Linked DNA regions of Caenorhabditis elegans. The protein of the gene in region 4 interacts with the protein of the main gene of each other region in a biochemical or structural test. Each region holds a gene or a part of one and is shown on either strand. Other genes may lie near its edges. The genes, in order: npr-6, npr-11, npr-4 and flp-15.

The links.
Region 1: of the proteins of flp-15 (region 4) and npr-6, one has a biochemical effect on the other in vitro, tested with the Caenorhabditis elegans proteins (one study listed by BioGRID).
Region 2: of the proteins of flp-15 (region 4) and npr-11, one has a biochemical effect on the other in vitro, tested with the Caenorhabditis elegans proteins (one study listed by BioGRID).
Region 3: of the proteins of flp-15 (region 4) and npr-4, one has a biochemical effect on the other in vitro, tested with the Caenorhabditis elegans proteins (one study listed by BioGRID).

Annotation. Positions count from the first base shown.
Region 1 is NC_003284.9:10,282,303-10,287,285, forward strand, and holds npr-6 (G-protein coupled receptors family 1 profile domain-containing protein), read right to left. Parts: upstream 3,433-4,983; 5' UTR 3,394-3,432; coding exon 3,310-3,393; intron 3,181-3,309; coding exon 3,094-3,180; intron 3,043-3,093; coding exon 2,948-3,042; intron 2,899-2,947; coding exon 2,813-2,898; intron 2,756-2,812; coding exon 2,643-2,755; intron 2,424-2,642; coding exon 2,247-2,423; intron 2,159-2,246; coding exon 1,983-2,158; intron 1,936-1,982; coding exon 1,798-1,935; intron 1,307-1,797; coding exon 1,233-1,306; intron 1,185-1,232; coding exon 1,101-1,184; intron 944-1,100; coding exon 849-943; 3' UTR 517-848; downstream 1-516. Other genes in the region: slc-9B.1 (Cation/H+ exchanger transmembrane domain-containing protein), read left to right, coding at 1-21, 76-207.
Region 2 is NC_003284.9:1,251,315-1,257,554, reverse strand, and holds npr-11 (Putative neuropeptide Y receptor 11), read left to right. Parts: upstream 1-1,907; 5' UTR 1,908-1,939; coding exon 1,940-2,050; intron 2,051-2,164; coding exon 2,165-2,314; intron 2,315-2,369; coding exon 2,370-2,518; intron 2,519-2,569; coding exon 2,570-2,768; intron 2,769-3,171; coding exon 3,172-3,341; intron 3,342-3,989; coding exon 3,990-4,086; intron 4,087-4,135; coding exon 4,136-4,296; intron 4,297-5,385; coding exon 5,386-5,557; 3' UTR 5,558-5,740; downstream 5,741-6,240. UniProt on the Caenorhabditis elegans protein: Could be a receptor for neuropeptide Y and peptide YY.
Region 3 is NC_003284.9:12,548,654-12,553,242, reverse strand, and holds the start of npr-4 (G-protein coupled receptors family 1 profile domain-containing protein), read left to right. Parts: upstream 1-1,565; 5' UTR 1,566-1,603; intron 1,604-1,653; 5' UTR 1,654-1,721; coding exon 1,722-1,786; intron 1,787-4,589.
Region 4 is NC_003281.10:13,662,856-13,669,372, forward strand, and holds flp-15 (FMRF-Like Peptide), read right to left. Parts: upstream 4,985-6,517; 5' UTR 4,949-4,984; coding exon 4,885-4,948; intron 1,202-4,884; coding exon 1,139-1,201; intron 830-1,138; coding exon 693-829; 3' UTR 545-692; downstream 1-544.

The DNA.
Region 1 (4,983 bases), on a different chromosome or scaffold from region 4:
CTCTCTCAATACAATCCACAGGTAGCGTTCTCACTCCCATTTTTGAAATGCAATGTGAAACAAATTTTCATTCAGGATGCGCCGGCAATTGAGAAAAATTTTGACAAAACCTATATGAATGGTGATCATGTTGATGAAACCATCTATGCCGCCCGTCCGAAGACATATTCGGAATACCGCAGTGAAGCTGTTATCGAAAGATATTAAAAATTTACCCAAACTTTTTAGATTTTATTACAATTTTCCTCTGAAAAAAAAAACAAAATAATTCCTAATTTCCCATATTTATAATATTATTATCAAGTCAATTCAAATTCAATTTAAATGACCATAACCAGGAAAAGACATTTCACCAATTTTCCAATTCGATTTATTTTACTTATCCACATCTACCAATTTCCCGTTCCAGCATGTTTTTAAATATGTCATTCTGAAATTTCGTCATGATTCTGTTATACCCTTCTTACTTGAACCATATCTGATCTTATCAACCACACCAGTTGAACCAATTTTTTGTAACCAATATGAAATTTCATTTACAAATATTTTATCAAAATGTGACAAGAAGAAGAAACAAAAGATAAATCAGCATCAAGCAAGATTTGTGCAAATACAGCAGTGCATAAGTTAAGTATAACCACATAGTTTAGATCAGGACAGGTTTGATCAGAGATTTAGCTGAAAAAATCTTAGGAAAGAAAAACAATATGACCAAAAAAATAAAATGTTGAATAAGTGTTTTTATGAAAATTACATATGAAGGCAAGTGGAAAGCGGATAAATGTACTGGCAAGTGACATGACTAAAAGCGACTTTTGTTCTGACTTTCCGGTTTTGTATTGAGCGGCTTAAAGCAGAAGCGTCTGACAACTTGATCCGTTCTCAGGCTCATCGAGATACACGATACTGCGCTGCGGCTCCACTGCAGTTTGAAGTGGACTCTCTGAATCTGTTTCTAAAGATTGCTGGTTTGTTGAAAAGTTCACTGACAACGAGTGCATGCAGGGAATGAATGGCTTCCTATTCTTCGTTGGATGTCGGGTGTAAAAGTTCTTAACGAAGAATAACTAAGGATCAAACAACATAAAAGTAAAACTCACCAGAAATCACCGTAACAGGCTGTTCCTCCACTTTTTTTTTTCGGTTTGCACGTCGAAACGGGTTAGTTATCATAGCGGTGCGTTCTAAAAAAAAAGCTAAGCAAAAATAACTTCAAATTTATCAGGTTTTACCAGTGATGACGCGAATTGGACCAGTTCCAGGACGACGCGCAAACAAGCAGGGAACAACTTTTGCGAACTCCTCACTGAAAATGAGCATTGCAAGAAAATGAAAATTAAATAATTCAATTTATTGAATTTAATTTAATTGAATTTAATTGAATTTTGAACTGTGCAAATTTTTTAAATAATCCTAAATTTACCAAAAAGTGTCTTTTTTTTTAGTTTAATCTGTTTCTAATTATAAGAAGAAACAGTGTCACGAGAGGAAATTTTATTGAGTATTTATAAAAAATAAATTTTTAATAAAATAAATGAGAACTGAACACACAAATGCAGTCTAAGATAAAACTTCTTGACTTTTTATCAATTGTATTTTCTAGCACATGTTTACGTATCAAATTTTATAACTTGTATTTTCAACCTGAACGAGAAGAAAACAACCCCTCGTAATCTTTTAACTGCAATTTATTTTCCAATAAATCGTTGAGTCACTAATGATTATCAATTGTTGTCTGTATTGTTTAAAACGGGTTTTCGACCAGACGGCGGCGAAATGCAAATCCCATAAACCCACCGGAAGGTCTCATTCATGAATGCGTAGAGGATTGGATTCCAGGCGGTAGCTGTCATACTCATCAAATGCACGGAAAGGAAAACAAAACTGAAGTAGCCACGCATGAAATTATCCAACTTGAGATCTCGGAGACAGTTTCTGAATTTATTTCAAATATATGACATATTATTCACTTCTAAACTAACAAGAGGTTGAATGGGAACCAGCAAATTGCGAAGATGACCACCATGACAATCAACATCCGTAGTAAACGCTTTTTGCGCTTGATATCGGATTTTCTCTCGGTCATACTTTGACGGCTATTTAGGAACAACCATATTTTTATGTAACTAATGGCAATGAGTACAAATGGCAAAATGAACTGAAAATTGATTTGTGCATAGGCATAGATATATGTATATATAATCCCCCGGTAATTTATACAAATAATTTCATTGTCCCCAACTCACTTGAAGAATCATCACCACAATTCCAAAAATAGATCGAAATTCGGCATTGCTCCAGTCCTCACTACATATCAGAAAATCACATGGTTCATGAATGTAGTTGAGCTTCATGTTGATGGCATACGGAGTGACCAGAAGCAATGAGCATAGCCAAATGAGGACAATGAACGAAAGGCAAGACTGAATTTGGTATGTACGAAAGTTTCAAAAAAATTTTAAAAATTAGAATTTTTTCCAATTACAAAGTTGTTCTACACCGAAAACAGGAAAAACTATTATTTTCATGGAGGTTACTTTGTTAACTGTACTTCAAAAACACCTTTCTATAGACTAAGAAATGAGAGTTTTGGTTTTTTGGAGTTAGGTTTTTTATTGATACATTGTTCCTGCTCAACTTACTCTCATGGACATTCTATCATTTATATTGATATTTGATGAGTTGTGCACGATCACTATGTATCGATCTATGGCTATAGCCGTAAGTGTCCACGTACTGATGAAGATACTTGTACCTGTATAGTTAGATGCTTGATCACTGCTTAACTTCCCGTCTATATGTAAACCAATACCTTGGAACAGGGGTAAACCATGACACAATCCACCTCCGAATATCCAATGTCCTATTGAGGTGTATGTTGGTGTAAGCCACAACGATCTGAATATAAGAACCGGATATATCACTTCCGATTTCAAAAAAAACCCACGTAAAGTTAACCATTATATCAGAAACTGCGAGATTTGTAATAAAAATGTTGGTGATCGTCTGCATTCGCTTGTTCGTCATCACAACGTACACCACCTTAAACACAGTTGTTGGAAAACTGGAGAAATCGAAAATGATATTACTTACCAAAAAATTACCGGAACTAGCAACCAAAAAAACAGCACAATACATAGAAATAAAGAATGGGCGGAAATATTCCATTTCCATGGGGTTCTGAAACGTGTTTTTTTAAAATAAAAATTACTCGGCTTCAGTTAAAATAATTCATAATCAAATAGTTTCAATGAACATTTTTGATTTTTTTTCAAACGTTCACGAACAATTTTGGACACGAAAACTTACGTTTTTGATTTTACATGTACTTTGATATGAAGGTGTTGTTTCATTTAGTATAGAAGACACTGAAGGCACGAGATCATTCGACATCTGAATCAAATATTATCAGAAATTGGGATAAACGAAGAGCTGAAAATATTAGAATCGGGAGATAAATCGAGTACATTTTAAGAATTGTGAACTGGATATGTTTGGTTGCGATGTGTCTCGTTTAGACCTCTTTAAGTTCATAATATTCTGACGTGGGCGCGGTGGAAGAGTCGGAAATGAACTTGATTTTAAGGAGAAAAAACGAGATTTGACACGTTTCATAGAGCAAAAGATGTTAGAAGTATTTTCAAATTTAAAGCTCCCAAAAGAATATAAAATTGAGAATATGTTAAGTCAGTTATGAAAATTTAATGATATTCGCATCTTTGCAATTGACACTAGAAGAGCGACCACATCTAAACTAGAAATCTACATAGTTCATATAATACAAAACTGATGTCATGATTTTTGAAAAAAAAAATCAATAAAAATTACAATATTAATAATACACTATTAAACAGATTCAATAGAACCCAAAGTTTTCAATGATTTTTTAAAAATTGTTTGTTTTCAATTCTTCTTGTCAATCAAATAAAAAAGAGAACATGAGCCAAACACTTCCCTCATTTTCTTATTTTCTCACTTTCTGTGTGAGACTTGCAATTCTAGACGCGAAAAGTGAATCTCAAAGTGAGAAAAGAGGAGGCGTCGTGAACTTTTAAAAGGGAAAGAATCCATATACATGTGAGAAATTTTCTCTTTTTCGAAATAAGCTGAGACCCTTCTTTTTTCCCTTTACGTTAAACAAACTACATACTCATTTATTTAAAATTTGCCTAAAAACTGGTACGCAAACGCACAAAGCGAATCGAGAGTCCTTTGATTTATGTTATGAATTCATCTTCGATGAAGCGAATTTTGAATTTCCTATAAAAAACAGAAAGAAAGGGTCGAAATTCGAAGAAGAAGACGCTTACGTAAGTTCAACAAGCTAGATTCAAATTATTTGGTTTCAATTGAAAATCAGAAATGAAATATGGACGTGGAGAAGAAATAGAAAAAAGATAATGTAAGGAGCCAATGGATTTAATCTCTCTAAATGGTGGGATGTGAAACATTCATGAGATGTAGGCTACTACGAACCAAGGATAATGTTATTATCTTGATTGATAAAGCTCTCATTGTTGCAAAAAAAAGGACTCGCATAGTAGGTGACCTTTTTTAGAACATTTCCTTTTGATAGTTTCGTCTTTGCCCTTGCCCTGTCTATGTATAGGGTTCATCCGTCTATTCTCTATTTTTCGTCTGGAAATCCGACTCCAATACCGCGGAAATTGAATTTCGACCGGGCGATGAGGGGCACCAGAAAAAAGTCGAGAAAAACTGAAGCACTCCTTGAGGTGGAAAAGGAGAAACGTTGCACATGAACTAAAGTAAACAATTCTGAGAGGGCGGATAAGCTTTGGTGAAACTGAGACAACCAAATACAGCTCAAAATTGTAAGGCAAAGGATAGAAATTGGATAATGAGCGTAGGAAAACATTTTTGAAAACAGAAATCAGAATAAATCGAAAATTAATATAAATTTTAGCTCAAGGAGTATACTTGATGACACAACGAAAATTTTAATGAAACGTCACATTTATCAAA
Region 2 (6,240 bases), on a different chromosome or scaffold from region 4:
ACTTTTCCTGGTTCTGATAAAAACCGAAAACAACGGGATTCTTAAAGGTGGAAAAATAACAGAAATCTGAAAATTTGCTTTTTTTAGATTCAATTTGACATGAAACTACCGAATTTTGTACTGAAAGGTTTTGAAATTTATTCGAAAAACATGAAATGGTGGTGTAAAATTTTGGAAAAAAAAGTTGTATCTTAGCCAAAATTAAAATTTTTTCAATTAAATAAAATCAGAACTTGAATAAGTAAGTTTCATTTAATTATTACCCTTTATGAAAATTTACTATAAAATCCAAAATTTTGATAAAATAATTGTTATTTAGTTTTGCTTAAAATTTTCTCAAAACAAAGTTAAGTTGGATCAAAGTTTTGGAAAAATCCGATTTTGCAGTAGATTAGATTGATTTTTTTTTAACTAAAATCAAAAAATCAAACATTTTCTTGTTTGGTTTTTGATTAAAAATTATAATTTTATCGTTAATTTTCTGTAAACTTTTATACAAAATTAACGATTTAATTGTTCAAAAAAATGGAAAAATTTTTCGATTTTCCGATTTTCCCTTTAAAAAATTGAAGAAAATCGGAATTTTTTACTTCAGATTTTCAAAAAACAAACATTTTAATTTATCGATTTTTCGAAAGTTTCCCTGTAAAAATCAAAAAATCGAAAAAATGTGTCGCAGGGGGTGATAATTTAATGAACCTTATTTCTTCAAGTTGGGACTTTTTTAATTGGCAAAATTGTGAAAAAACGAGATTTTAGCTCAAAAAACCCCTCATTTCTACAATTGTTTTTCGGAAAAAAAAATTTTCGAAAATTTTTGGTCTGAAAAATGGAAAGTCTCAAGGTCTCAGATTTTGGAACTCCACCTTTAAAAACACACAAAGTTCTGTTTTCTGATACCAGTTTTCTTTTGTTGATGTTGTTGTTGTGTTTCACTTCTCCATTTCATATCCGGCCCGTTCCTGCATTTCCGATGTTTATGGATATCCACCACAAGATGGCAGAGAGAAATGTTTAAAAAAACCGACCTGGGTGGCCGAAATAAATGGCGGTTGAAAAGACGAGTTCCGTCAAAACAAAGTCATATAAATTTTTTATTCTTGTGGTGATGCTACTAGTTTGGTTTAATCGTATTTGGTTGTCTCTGGTGAGCTCATTCACCGCTTCTTTTGTTTTTTCAAAATTATTTTTCATGAACTGCTCCCACACATTTATTAATTTTTGCTATTTCCTATAGCTTTTGACTGTTTGCGAGATTCTTTCGAATTTGGTGCAATTCTTAACAGTAAACCAAAAATTATGGTCATTGCAATGGAGATGTGGTCAGTGCAACTGATAAAGTCAATCAAAATTTTTGTCAGTGCAAATGATATAGTGGTCAGTGCAACTGAAAATTTTGTCAGTGCAATTGGCATATATGATAGCCATTGGATAAAGTCATTCGAAGTTTTGGTCAGTGCAACTAAACATCTTGTCAGTGCAAGTTGTGTATTTTTAGGCAGCATAACATAGATGATTGTGGCTGGTAAAATTGAAAAAATATTATTAAAAAAAAAAACTAAGTTATTCCTGAAATTCGGTGCACATATTGCTCCCAAACCCCTGTCTTTCAACGTTATTGTTTTTATAAAGTTTCAATTTAAAAGGGATATGGGAGTAGACACCGGGGCGGGAGAATGAGTTAAATGAGATGATAGTTTTCACTTTTCAATTTTCATTTCTTCTCTATAATTCGCAGTAATTACCTCTCATTTTTTGATATTTTTCTCTTATAACCGACCGACTAACCACTAGTCTGGATGCTCAATTTCTTGGAATATTCGTTTATTTATTTCCCTTCTGTGTGAGAAAATTGGCGTTTCACATATTTTTTTTCTTGCCTTCAATTTCATCTCCCGTATTTTTGTATTTTCGTCGGTATTTTCAGAACTTTCAACAAATGGGATCGGTGAATGAATCATGTGACAATTATGTAGAAATTTTCAACAAAATCAACTACTTTTTTCGAGATGATCAGGTTATCAATGGGACTGAGTATTCACCAAAAGAGGTTGGTATTCAAAAAGACAATTTTTTTAAATTTTGTCAGTGCAAATCAAAACTTTGTCAGTGCAAATTTAAAAATGGTCAGTGCTTACTCAAAACTTAACATTCAAATTTTCAGTTCGGATATTTCATCACATTCGCATACATGCTGATCATTTTGTTTGGAGCAATAGGCAACTTTTTGACAATCATCGTAGTCATACTCAACCCAGCAATGCGGACAACAAGGAACTTTTTCATTTTAAACTTGGCGCTGTCGGACTTTTTTGTGAGTATTTTTTGCTGGAATTATTGAAGATAGGAAACAATTTGAAAAATTCCAGGTTTGTATTGTGACAGCGCCGACCACATTATACACGGTTCTCTACATGTTCTGGCCATTTAGCAGGACATTATGCAAAATTGCGGGTTCGCTGCAAGGCTTTAACATATTTTTATCCACATTCTCGATAGCCTCAATTGCTGTTGATAGGTATGTACATATATTTTTTTTAATTAAAAATGCCATTTAACAAGTTTTCAGATACGTGCTCATTATCTTCCCAACGAAGCGAGAACGACAACAAAATCTGTCGTTCTGCTTTTTTATCATGATCTGGGTGATTTCCCTAATCCTTGCGGTTCCACTTCTGCAGGCTTCTGATTTGACACCGGTTTTCGTTGAGCCATCGTGCGATTTGGCTCTTTACATTTGCCATGAGCAAAATGAGATATGGGAAAAGGTTGGTTCTTAGTGGTCTAAATGAACTATAAACTAAACAATAAGCTTCATGTATCAGCTCCTATTAATGAAATATAAAAACTGTCTATGTACTGTAGTATTACTGTAATAATTAGGTTAATATGGTGTGACGATAGTCAAGGGAACTTGCTTAATACTTTCTATGGAAATTTGCTTTGAGTAATAGAAAATGTGTCATAATTTCCAAATACATAAAAGAGTTGAAAAAAAATTTAAAAAAATTGTTCCGATTTTTTAAAATTTTCAAATAAAATTTCAAATGACTTTTTAAAGTTTTCAGTTTTCTGAAAACATGTTAACTGGTATTATATTAACCAGTATGTATGGAAATATAAAAACAAATATAAAAAAAGACAATTTCGGCTAAACTCCAATTTTTCCAGATGATCATATCAAAAGGCACCTACACGTTGGCAGTTCTTATCACCCAATACGCATTTCCCCTGTTTTCACTAGTCTTCGCCTACTCCCGGATAGCACATCGGATGAAGCTGAGATTTGCAAACCGAAATCAGAATGTGACAACAAATACCAATACGAGTCAGAGGAGACGGTAAGAAATTTTTGAAATGTTTTTGTTTCGAAAAATGTAAAGTTCCACGTTTTAAGTGGCATTCGAAATTTTTGAAACACTGTTCTAACAGAACTTTTCTGAGAAAATCTGACCCACCTGGGCCGAATACCACAATTTAAAAATTGAAACAATTTTCTAAATTTGATGTAATTTTTTTTGAAAATTGGGAAAATCTCTATTTGTGCAAAAAAAATAAATAGCCCAATAAAAATTTTTAGAGCATTTTTTGAAATGTTTTACTATGATATTTGACACCATAGGAGTTGTTTTTATCAATTTACCCATTTGGGCTATTCCACCTTTACTACTGTGAAACTTCGAGAAAAATGTGCTCAAAATTTGTTATTTTATCTGCGGTCATAAAATTTTCAAAAAATGTTAGTAAAAAACTTTAATTTTTTGTAAAAAAATCATGTGAATGAACTTATACTAAACTGATATCTACAACATTTTGAAATTAACCCAATCACCCAATTTCAAGTTATTTTTGAAACTTTCGGATCATTACTTGCCTGGAGAACTAAATTTTGAGCTTATTCAAAAATCAAACAACTTAAAATTTTTCACATAATTTATTGTACAAAATAGATGTTCTTCGAAATAAAATTATTTTAAAAAAAGTTCCAGATCCGTCGTGGAACGTCAACGACGCACCCACCTCCTTCTTGTATGCGTTGTAGCTGTATTCGCCGTCGCCTGGCTGCCACTCAACGTTTTTCATATCGTAGGAGCATTTTCGTTTTATGTTCCACTAAAACCATAACAAATTTCAGTTCAACACATTCGAGCTGGTCAACAGTTTTTCCGTTACAACGTTCAGCATCTGTCACTGCTTGGCAATGTGCTCGGCGTGCTTGAATCCGCTGATCTATGCATTTTTCAATCATAACTTCCGGATCGAATTTATGCATCTTTTCGATAGAGTTGGGTTGAGGTTTGTGAACATTTTAAGTTAATTTTGGTAACACTTATGTGTAAAGTTGGTGGAAAATTTTTGCAATTTTGTCATTTTGCACAAAAACGTCCAGTACCAGGTCCCGTCACGATACATTTTTGTTAAATACAAAAGTATGTGCGCCTTTGAGGAAGGAGTACTGTAATTTTCAAACTTTATTATCGCTAAAATTTCATGAATTTTTCATAGACATACGGTTTTCTCAAATTTTCAATTATTAATTTGATGATTTTTTTTTTCGTAAAATTAGTTGATAAAAACAATGAGTTGTAAACTACAGTACTCTTTAAAGGCTCACCTTCCAATTTTTGAAAAAAAATTGCCGTGTTAAGACCCTGCCGGCAGGTGGTCTAAACACAGTGGGGCTATTACACTGTGGAAAACCTTTCCTCAAGAGTTATATAAATATAATAGGAACTACCAAGGTACTGTAATAGTTTGGTAGAAGAACTGTTGCGGTGTGTGGCCTGGTTTACAGCTTTTGTATCAAAGTCGTGATACACCCAGAAAATAAAAGCGATCTACCAATTAAGCGCCCTAAGTTGACACGCATAATAAAGAGGTCCTTTATTATGGGAACATAAAATTTTGAGAATGCGTATTGCACAACATATTTGACGCGCAAAATATCTCGTAGCGAAAACTACAGTAATTCTTTAAATGACTACTGTAGTGCTTGTGTCGATTTACGGGCTCAATTTTTGAAGTGATTTTCTTTTTGAATAGGGACATCAATATTCCATTTTTTTTCGTTTTTGTTATATTTTCCTCCTTAATTTATATATTATATTGATAAACAAATGATTTTAATTCAATTTGAGAATCAAGCTCCTAAATCGACCTACAGTAGCCATTTAAATAATTACTGTAGTTTTCGCTGCGAGATATTTTGCGCGTCAAATATGTTGTGCAGTACGCATTCTCACAATTTTGTGTTCCCGTAATACCATTGATCTACAAAAATTGCGGAGATTAGGCTCACGGAATAATGAGTAAATTTGAAGAAAATTATAGATGGTTGTACTGTAGAAAAATCTGAAAATTCAAAAAAATATCGCAATATTCCAGATCCCTTCGAGTCGTGATATTTGGAGAGCAAGAGTCGCTCAAGAAAAGTATGCGCACTGAATTCAGAAGCCGTGGAGGCTGTAAGACGGTAACTACTGCAGAGCCAGCAACCTTCCAGAGAATGAATGAAAGTATGATTCTGAGTGCGATGGAGCAAGATGAGCAGCTGTGATTGTTTAAGAAAACATGTAGGGTAACAATAAATCATTCCGTCATTGTTTCAAAACGCTTCTAAAACCTAATTTATTTGATTTTGATGTTCTTTTTTTTTACTTTTTTTTTCGTTTCCGTCAGTATGTTGCTGATTCAGCCTATTATGTTTCACATATGAAGATTTGTAAATGAAGCTTGTCATAAGAGAGATGATTGGTCAAATTTGAGAGAAGTGACCGAAGATTAGGGAGGGGACTGACTGAAATGCGCAGTCATGCGGAAAATTTAGGGTATTTTTGAGTTGAACAACCATATTGTTCGGCAGCTTTTCAAAACAAATGGCGTCATGGATATGGAAGTTTTTGGTTCTTCGTTTCGAGACAGGAAAGTGAATTTTAATGAACTACTCATCGGAAACTGGTCAAAAAAGCTTGTTTTTTTTAAGGGAGGGGGGATTTGATGTAAGAATGATAACAAAAATCTTTTGGGACAAAAGTATATACTCACGTGGAGTCAGAATATCTCATTTCGGTTTGATCTTCAAAAAATGCGGGAGTTGAGACGCAGACATCTCAATTGATTTTGCATGGTTAAAAGTGTGCTGACGTCACAATTTTTGCAAAAATATTCCCGCATTTTTTGTAGATCAACCTGTGATGAGACAGCCTGACGCCACGTGTATACTGTGTACACTAAAAAATG
Region 3 (4,589 bases), on a different chromosome or scaffold from region 4:
TTTTTATTTATTAATGTAATACATACGAAAAAAAAAACAAAATTATAAATATCTGTGCAACAAGCCCACAAACTTTTCACTGACTTTGTTGTTTTTATGGATAATTCCAGTGTTTCTTACTAATTTATAAACGCTGATAAATAGTTATGTATTTTGAAAGCAGTCTCTGAAAAAAAACACGATATTAAATCAAAAAAATTTTACAAAAAAGCAAAAAGATTTGATATACATAACATTGTAACAGAATTTACGGCCTTTCCAACAAAACAAGTTTCTGTTGTCTTATAAAAATTATTCCAAAGATCTGGGAAAGTTCATTCAATATCCCCAGCGCTCATTACCATTTTCTTACGCATCGCACTTGGTCTCCGAACCTTCATTGCATTCACCTGAATCTTAGATAGCAAATGACGAAATCAGCCCAATCCTCCAATCATCCAATCGCAGACTTGAATAATCAACGCAACATTTGCACATCCTTAGAGGTCATCCCCGCATGACTCTATCATCCTTTTCTCCGAACCTTTTTTCCTCCGCTCTCCGCCCTCCATTCTTCTTTTTCCTGGCTTCAATCCCTTTTTTTACAACCAAATGGACCCTCTAAGACAATTGAGCAACGCCTGCGGAAGAAGGGCAAGCCAATCTGCAGTCGGTTGGTCCTTTTTTATTATTTACCTTACACTTGTTTCCGTTTTAATTGTTGCGATCTTTGTACAAGAAGAAAATCATGTTGGTTTTTGATGAAGTGAGTTCGGAGTTCGAATTGTTCTTTCAACTCCAAAAATCGAAGCACTTTTGTTTTATATTTTCGGTTTCACAGTATAACAAAAATTTGTTTGTAGAGTCATGTTTAGATTAGTATATAAAAATGTTAAATTCCACAAATTTGATTGAAAAACAAAAGTAGTGATTATTGTTTGTGTATTTCTCGAAACTTATTTTTCCAATTGTAAGGAAATATGAAATCAACTAATTCTATGGATAACATATAATTTAGTTTTAATTTGAAAAATAAAATAATGTTGTAGAACTTTAATGTAGTACACATTGAAAAAAAATAGGTTTGGCGGTAAAGCTTTCTAGTTCACCCATCTTCAAGTAATGCAAAATTGAAGTTTTCTTACCTGTTCTAGTTGGTTTTGAAATTCTCCTTAAACAAATTAAAGATAATTTTATTCAATTAAAAAATATTTTCCAGTATTTGACTTTTCACCAAAGTTAAAACAACTTGAAAAAAAGTTCAAGGTGTTTTCACATGTTCTAGTCTAGACTAGTTTCTTCAAAAGTGAAAAGACTTACAAAGGCAAAAATCCTTTGTCATTGTAATCCTCCGCCATAAAATTTTGTTTGTTTTTTTCTAAGAATCTGAAAATTAACTTTTCCGCCTGTCTTGCTCCATTTTTCTCATTCCAACTCGATTAGTTTATTGCATTAGTGCAGAATGTACAAACGTTTCTGAAAACAAACGCTTTTGGTGCCAGATGTTGAGGATAATATTAATCTTTTCTCACAATTTCTTCTTGTCCATTCTTTCTTTGAATTTATCTAAATACAATTTGTTTCAGCCCAGCTTGCCTTGGCACCAGGCTCTCATTTAATCACGGTAAGCCTCTCGGTCACTGTAAACTATATAACCAATCGTTTGATTTTCAGATATCAACACAAAGTTTACGGAGAATTGCAACTGAAAAGTTGTTAGGTGAAGACACATATACAGAACAATGTTACTGGAAATTGGCACAATAACAATCGGGAATATAACCCGAGCAAGAAAGTTTGGAGAAAGGTAAGTTCCTGAAAATGGAAAATGGGTCCCCCTCCGCATTTCAAATGAGGTGTCTATTAGTTTCTGGGAAAGTTGAAAGAGAAACCCTCCCACAACTCAAGTGTTAAAGTTCTAAGCCCAAATTCAGACACTTGTGAATATTAGATTATTGCCTATTTTGACGAGCTATGGTAAAAAAAACAACACTAATTTCGAGTGAAAACTCCAAAATTGTGGTGCACTTGTCACACCATCACTCATTCTCTGACAAATCTCGATTGTGTTTTTGAGCCAACCAGCTCTTATTCGTCGCCGTCAAAACTTTCTTAAATTGAAATCACATCTCGAAACCTTCTTCCGTTTTGCATAAAATTGAATTTAGTTCAACAAGTTTAAAATGCCACCCCTTTTCTAGAAAACAAATGATGACGTTTTCCACGTTTCTCAGTTGAGAACGAGTCATGCGACTTTCAATTGGTGAAGTTCTTTTTTTTTTCTTCTGAATTGGTGTTTTTCCATTACCAAAAAAAAAAGGGTTTTTGATCTTTAGATCAACATTCTCAATTTTTCGGTGCCAATCAAGATTCTTGGTGCATTGCGTTAGACAATACTGAATTGCAGCTAATCATGTAAAACAAGAAACAAATCATTGGCAAAATTGAGAAATTGTACCCAGTAAAACTAAAAAATATGGATCAAAGGGTGGTGTGAGTTTGTTGGGTGTTTTTCGCAGATCAATGGCAATTCGTTTGTGATTTTGAAAAAAATCGCTACAATTGTGAACATTGCTCTTTTTGACTTTTTGCTAACGATTTTACAATAGCTCAAATGTTGAACTTTTACTTTTCAAGATTCTTATAGTAAGACTTTTCTTGAACGATTTAATCTAGATTTTTTGGATCCAAAAACAGTATTCCTCTTACTCGTTGTACTTTTTGGCACTTCATTCTCCTACGGACCAACCACTTCATCTTTGCAACTTTTCGCTGACCTAAGATAATCAAATTCCTTAGAAGGAAGGAAAACTTTGAAACTTTCTCCCGCTCTCTCGAGTTTTTTATACCACCCACCTATAGTTCCTCTCTGTCTCTCTCTCCGTACTCATTTCATTAATGACGTTTTAAAATAGAGCCGCTAAAGAATTGATCTTATATATTAGGAGAGAAACGCATAGTGTTCGATCTTTGATGCTCAAAGCTCAAAATGTTAAAAATGCCAGCATGGTGTTATTATAATGTATCTGAAATACAAAATTAGAAGGTATCTGCAGAAATGCTGACGTGAAATGTGGGAAGGGGAAAGAGGAAAAAAGTTTTTACGATTGGTTGTGAGTAGGCGGAAAGATATGTTGTACAGCCAGTGGGGACATGATTAAAACCGTTTAATATTGCAAAAATGATAAAATATTATGATAAACTTTTCAAAAGCTATTGAAATTTTTTTTTACTCCGAGTCAAGATTTCAAAAATTTCATTTTGATATTTGGTAATTTTAGCACCACTATTGTAATGGTTTTCAATTATTTTTCACCTACCGTACTACAGCTTTAAGATTGTCACAGCACTCCGCTTTTTCTTTTGTTTCCTTTGAACCTGCTGAAGAACATGATTTTTTTTCCAAAATCTTTAATAATTTGCAATATTACCGTATACATATTTCCTGGTTGTTACGGACCTCAAAAATAATTTTCAGTTTATATAATTGTGATGTGCTTTTGTTTTGAAAACACCACATTGTCTAGCCCATTTGCTTTTTTTAAATGAATTTTTTATGAATTATGAAAACTACTTCCACTTAAAAAATCAGTGGTTCTGGGAAAATAACCATTTATTTCATTCCGTCTTCTTGTTTTTTTGACCGCGATGAACAAATACAAAATGAGAACATTAAAAGAAAACCAAAGTCACGAGACAACGTAGGCACCCAATTGTCTCGTAATTTATGAAAACACCAGTCACCAACCTAGAAGTACACCTTTTAGCCGGTCCCGATGAGGAAAACAATGAACAAAGGTTGAAGTTTTGCTATATGCATGTTTGACGCAGTCTGGCTTGTCCGGAACAAGATGTGCAATAGATTCGAGCTTTTGCGAATATTTTGGAAGAAATAGTAAATGGCCCGATATATCTAGATGAGACTTGGACGGAGGAGTAAAGTGGAAATTCGTTTACTTCATTCTATTTTGTGCTTAAAGAAGATATTTATCTGAGAAGCGTTGGGAAATGCATTTAACGGAAAAAGCCTTTCACATTCAAATTTTAATTTTCGATTCCTTGGCCAAGTTCATGTTGCGCTGCGATAGGCTTAGTATAATATTTTCGGAAGTTATTTGCATGTTCAGCAGATTGCGTCACAAATGCCATTTGTCCGATCAATTGAGCTTATTTTTATGTTACTATTTGGGAGGGTTGAGTAAGAAAATGCTAACTAACATCGTTTTTTGTCTTTTGAGATTTGAGAAATTTCTTATTTGCTTTCTCATCATTCTTTGTATTCTCAAAAATGAATGTGAACCTTGGAAAACGCTTGTAAGTTTTTTTTGATTCTTGAAGAGTTGAAACTGGGCAATTTTTCAAATTTATAGTAACTCGCAATGTTTTGAGAAATTTTCAATTTTCGGTTCTTTTTGAATATTACACATTCTACGTATTAGTTTCAATTTTCAAAATTGTTTAAAACGTTCATAATACACATTTCTCCCTAGAAAGAATGTTTAATTATTTTGTAAAGGTTCTCCCCAATTGATCACAAAAACATGTTGCGCATTCTGCTCAACTTGAATGCTTGTATCAATTATGAATGATGGTTTAATTTGAGTATTCAC
Region 4 (6,517 bases):
GGCTTCTCGATTAGTTCAGAAAAAAAAGAGTTTCAGAAAATAAAACATCGACCATTTTCAATTTTCTGAGTTTCCAAAGTTCAATGATCAATAGTTCATTAGTTACAGACATGGGTGCGCGGTAATCGGAAATTTTGGTAATTGCCGAAATTGCCGATTTTCATTCAAGGATTAAATCATGCCGAGCTTGAAAAGAGAAAATTGTCCATTAAAATTCATGTTGAGTTTCGTAAATCTACAAAAAGTATCGAATTTATATTTCCGGCGATTCTGAATTTCAGCAATCGGCAATTTCGGCAATTGCTGGGTTTCAAAATCTCCGGCAATTGGCAACTTTGGCAATTGTCGGTTTTGTGAATTTTCGGCAATAAGCAATTGCCGTGCACCCTGTTTACAGAGTTAACACGATTTCAAAGTTAGAAATTTGCTGGTTGCCGACTACTCGAAATAAAGAATATCAAAACTTTCATCCATTTGACAGACATTTTCTGAAAATTGTTATAAGTTCATCGATAATGATATAATAATAATAATAATAATATAATTAACTTGAAAACATATTTTATTAACCAATCATCTTATTTATTTCATAGAAACACATGCAGCACAGTCAGGTGAGGGATGGAAAAACGGGGGAACGGAATCGGGGAGAAAAAAGTTGTTGGCAAGAAAATGACCGCTCTCCAAATTATTTACTGGTACCACGACGCGACGTCTTCAGCAGCAGGTGCCACGTGGAATGATGATCGCTTTCCAAAACGGAGAGGTCCAGATGGTCCACGTCGTTTTCCGAATCGAAGTGGTCCCTGGGGTCCGCCTTTCTTTACGTCTGAAAATTTAGCATAAAGTGGTCACCAAACATAAAAAAATTGGTAGGTTAAAAAGCAATCAAACCGTTTGAGATATAAAAAAGTTTTAACTGAAAATAGATAGAAAACTTATTTGTTATAAATGTTTTTAAAAGTATTAATTTTCAAAATGGTATTCTCACTTGAATTCAGCGATAAAATGTATTTCTGAACATTTTTTGAAATGCTGATATCTTTTTAGAAACTTAAGAGATCGAAAAGTTTTGAATAAACAAATGTTTTAAAACTTTGTGATTTTCATTTTTTAAGTTAACAATTCAAAAGCTTACAATTGGAAAAGTAGTCCAAATCAACAGCCACTGGGATTGTTCCGACCGAATTGTCGTCGTAATCTGCAATTTTAGAATGCTTGTTTTTTTTTTGAAATTTTGGTTCATTTGAAAGTCATAGTTTGAGCTTTTAATTACTACTTATTAGTTTTTAATTCCCATTGTTCCAATCTTGGAAATATCAAATTCCTTCTGAATCCTTTCAAGTTTATTTATAAAGTGACGTTTTTTTTTTCTCATTTTCCACTTTCTAAATATTTGTTTAAAATTCACAAAAATTCTCACATGAAACCCACTTCCGACACACGTACATATCATTTTTCCATAAATAATTCGAATGGACGCCGTGTGAAACTTTTGGCACAATTTTTTTGTTTTGTCTTCTGGTAATTTGAGATGCATTTTGTGCCAAAATTTTGAAATTTCTACACTCTGTTTAAAAATTTCAATTGAAAAAATGAAAATTTGCTGGAAAATCAATCAGACAATTTTTGACAAAAGCTTTGGTAAACTTTCGACAATTCCGGCAGTTTAGTAGTACTTTTTTGGGAAAGAATCTCAAAATTTTGAATGTTGCCCCGTTTGACCTCAGCACCCAAAAAAAGAAAAATCTCCCCCAACTTTTTTTTTCATAAAATATTCAATCTTTTATCACTCATCTCAAACATCTACCCCCTCATCTGCATAAACGTGATGCTCTCGAAAAAAAACGAAGAATTTGTCAAGTTTTCATTATCAAAGTGAGAGAAAAGAACAAAAGAATAAATTAGACAAGGAAGCTCGTTTTGTTTGACTAGCTGAGTTTTTGGAATTTTTAGGTAACGGGTTTGTGTGACGAACTTTTTTTTGAAAGTATAAATAATTCTTAACCAACTTCAATAGTTTATCAAACTATTGTCAACTGAAATTTTTTTGCAATTCTCTCTAATGTTTTCTCTCTAATTTTGTAGTCTGCTGCTATGCCTATTTTATCTTGCTTCGGTATAAATGTTTAACGGTGGAGTACCGAAATCCGAGACTTTGTTTTTTAGATCCAAAATGACCCAAAACTACCGAATTTCGTATGAAACGTTTTAAACATTTTTCAAAAAAGTTATAACGAGTTCAAAGTTCTGGAAAAAAGGCTCATTTTCTGCTAAAATCAAACATTTTTGCCATCTTCTCGCTGTCGCAGCGTCTGGAACTCAATTTTGGAATAAACAAATGACATATTAGTTTAAAATTAAAAAAAAATTAATTGCTACACTTGCAATTCTAAAAAAATTTGAACAATATAAAATCGTGTTGTTAATTAAATTTTCTTGGGAAAATTAATCGCATTTCAAAATACTGATAATATTGAAATCTGTGGTCTAAAAAACTAATTTTTGGTCAATCATCGACGTCTGATAATTTTAGTACCAAAAGGCAAAAATTTTGTCCAGTAACCTCAAATTGTGTCAAAAGAATTTCGTGATCAGTGAAAATAATTAACTTTTAAATGTTAACTTTTGAAATTAGCCGCTTGCGTTTTAAATTGTTAAAATTAAAATCCCCAGCCCATTTTCAAATACACAACCATCATCATTCCTAAAGGTTTCCAAAATAAAGCGAGCCCCATGTGTTGCTCATTGGTTTCAAACTTTCAAACTAATCGCCTGACGACCCCCAGTGGACGTGCACCGCCAATAAAACCTTACCAAAGTTAGACCCTGGAGTGTGGAAATGAATGAAAATCGATGCAAATGGCTCCTCTTTATGGTTGATACATGTGTACATATTATGACAAAACAAGAAGAAGAAGAAGACACTACTATGTAGACGGGCGTGGGTGGTGACAAATTTGGAAGTTTTAGTGGGAAGTTTTAATCCCTTACACCTTAGACTAGAGACATTTTGATTTTGAAATAGGAATTATAAAATTTTTATCTACGGTTCTTTGGCAACTTGTAAATCTCAAATAATTTGAATTTTGTCTTAAAAATAGTTGTTGCACGAAATTCGGCAATAATACTTTTCAAAATTACCGATATTCTATAAAAAATGAAAACAATTTTTGAAAAATTATAAGAATTTTGAAATTTGCCCAAACTCTTGATCAATCATCAAATCCTCACAAAAAAATTCGGCAGCTTTTAAAATAATGTCTTTAAAAATTTGGCAATTTTTGGAATATTCCTAAAACTCTTGACTAATTTTCGCTAGCTCTTCGGCTTTTCATGAACTTTTGGCAAATTTTTGAAACTTTTAAACAGTTTTTGATGTTTTTTTTTGCAAATTTCGACGCTTTTGGAAAAACTATCAGCTTCCGGCACTATTTCAAGCTGTCGAAAATGTTTTGCGACTTTCAAAATCAATTTCATCATCGTTTACAACCGATTTAAACATTTTAACGATCTTTTGCACTTTTCCACTTACAAATCTAAAAACTTCAGTTTTCTGACTTCTAAACCCTTACCTTTTCACTTCCGGAGCCCAGTGATCCGTAAAGTCAGAATTTTTCCAAAAATTTTACTACTAAACTACACAAGCGGAGGAGTAAGGGAGGGGATTGTTGAATGACAAATGGGAAAAGAACAAAGAAAGTGGAATTAGGAAATGACAAGAAATGATGGAGGAATGGATCAAAACTGACAGGGTTACGGTAGGGTGATGTCATCGAAATTTTGAAATTATATATTTATAATTTTAGAGCTGTCAAAAATTTGTTACCAGTTACAATGTAACTGGTAACAAATAACTTGTAAAAATGTTTTTTATTGCTTTATTAGACTCAAAATTGTCTGACAACACCCGAATTTCATAATGAAACTTCATGAAAACTTCTCAAAAAAATAGTTATACGGCTCAAAAAAGGGCCTAATATTAGTCAAAATTTGAAATTTGACGGAATTGTCAATGTCGCAGCGGCTGATAACATTGTTTTAAATCACCGCCAAATTTTGAGTATATGAGTATATGTAATTATTTTGCCTTTTCAACTCGATTTAGTTATTTTAAAGTCGATGGACCAAAAGATTTTAAACATTTTTACCAAATTTCTTCGTCTATTGGCTTACTAAATCGAGTTGATAACGCATGATAACTAAATTTTATACCCAAAATTTGACGGTAATTTCAAAACAGTTTTTAGACCATTTTTTGAGCCGTCATAACTTTTTTTTCGAGAAGTTTTTAAGAAGTCTGCGTTTTCAGACAATTTTGAGGGTAGTAAAGCAATTTTAAAAAATCTGGCAAGTTATAGTGAATTTTTTGGTCGATTTATTATCAATTTGTTTTAAATGTTTTTCTTGTTTTTGCTCCAGTCTCACCAAAGTAAAAACTTGACAGTTAATTTTTTTGTTATAATCCCCCGTTACATTTGGGTGTTGCTAAAAAATTTCCATACTTCTTTGATTTATTATCTACAATCTGACTGACTAAAGTTCAACTTGACTTAAATGGCGAGCTCTGTTTTGAGTAAACCGCCAATTTGCCTGTCAGAATGTCGAAATGATGTAAACTTTTGAAACTAAATATCAAGTTTGCTGGAAATCGGATCACGAGGATATGTATCATAAGTTTTTGAATTCGTCACTCGGAGAATACATTTTTTAAAACTTATTTATTCAGCCATTATGCTTCTCAAACCTGCAGTTATAACTAAAGCTGGTCAACTCACCCAAACATGTATAAAACTCCGTAAAAAACCTAATCTTTTTGATTTTTCGTATTGTATAGAATCCGTATCGTATTTTCAGTTTGCAAATCTAGCCAACAACTCTTACCTGCAAGTGTAGCAATTGCCAAAACCGCAAAAACTGCAACTCGAATAAGCGTGGAGAACTGCATGACGAGGTGTATGTGGGAGACCTTCTTCCAAAAAATGAGCCGAAAGCTCTTGCGAAAGCGCACACGAGCAGATAGGGCGGGATCTGAGCTCCGCCCTTTGCGCAGCTCTGTAGTTATTGATGAGCAGTCAGAAACTTGATATTTTTTGAAATGAAAATTTTGAAATTGGGGAAAAGGTACCACTTTTCAACAAAACCTGACACCACTTTTGAAGTTTGCTCCGAATTCAGGAGTTTGGCACATATATAAGTGACCAAAAAAGTTCAACGCTTAAAATACTATTCTATATATTTTTCAGATTAATTTTGCAGATAATATCAAAAAATTTGAAAAAAAATGGATTCCGGTGATACCAACTGACAATATAAAAATTTGAAGTAGCGGGGCAGACTGAATTCAGTAGATATGACACAAAATACTAAATTTTGCAAAGAACGAGTTTTGAGTGGTTATTTCAGCTTTAGGAACACTTCCTGTAAACTACTATTAATTTTTATTTGACTTATAACAACCGAGAAAGTGTTCAAAAATTGTCCGAATGTGGAAAACTGGCGTCAATTTTTCGGCAATTTTCAACATTCAGACGATTTTTGAAGATTTTTCCAATATTTTTTACTGAAATAACAGTTATTTTCAAGTAATGCAAATATTTTCTATATTGTACCATTAAATTTTAACGAATAATATCGGGGGAACATTCCCAACCGTCTCATTTTGTAGAATTCCCGCGCACCCCTGATTGGCACTCTAATTCACAACCCCTTTCTAACGAGAACTTCGAATTTAAAAAAACCCAACTATAGCCTTTGTTTTTAAAAAAAATTTATGTTCATAACTTTCAGATTATATTAAAAACGATAACTTCAAAGTTTCAGAACCATGAAACAGGCGTGACCTAGCGTACAGTACCCCTTATTGGACCGCCGCATCCCCAAAAACTTCAGAGCGGCAATAATTACACCTGGTAATTATTACACCAGTTGTTGTCACTTGAAAATGGTGTCGTGTTACTGTAGCCCCGTGTGTATCCATAATTCGGTCATATTTCAAACGAAACCGGCACAATATTGCAGAGAGACAATTGACTTTTATGTATGCAATTAACGGAACTAACAAAGTGGAAATGGTATTTCTGTAGTTTGTTGAGATGAGAAGTTGAGGGGAAAAACTTGGAACCTTTTTTTAAATACATTTTTAAGTATCAACTTAAATAAAATTGAGCAAAATTATATTTCGAAATTTGAAAGTTTTACAAAATTTTGATAATAACTCAATCCTCAATGGCTTTTTTTTTGAAACAGAATTGAGATATTGGCAGAATTCAAGACACCGTTTAAAATTTTCCGCGTTATATTGGATAGATTTTCGGAATTCAAGATTTCGGGAAAAAATTTAAAATTCTGCCCGCCGAATTAATTCAGCGAGTGTTTTTTTTCGGTGTTTAAAATTCCGTTTTCTTCATTTTTTTTTCAATGATATATTTTTATTGTAGTTTGAAAATTTTGATAATTGAAAAATATCCTAACCTAGTAACAAGTTGTAACAACAGACGCCTCGTAGGTTTCAAAA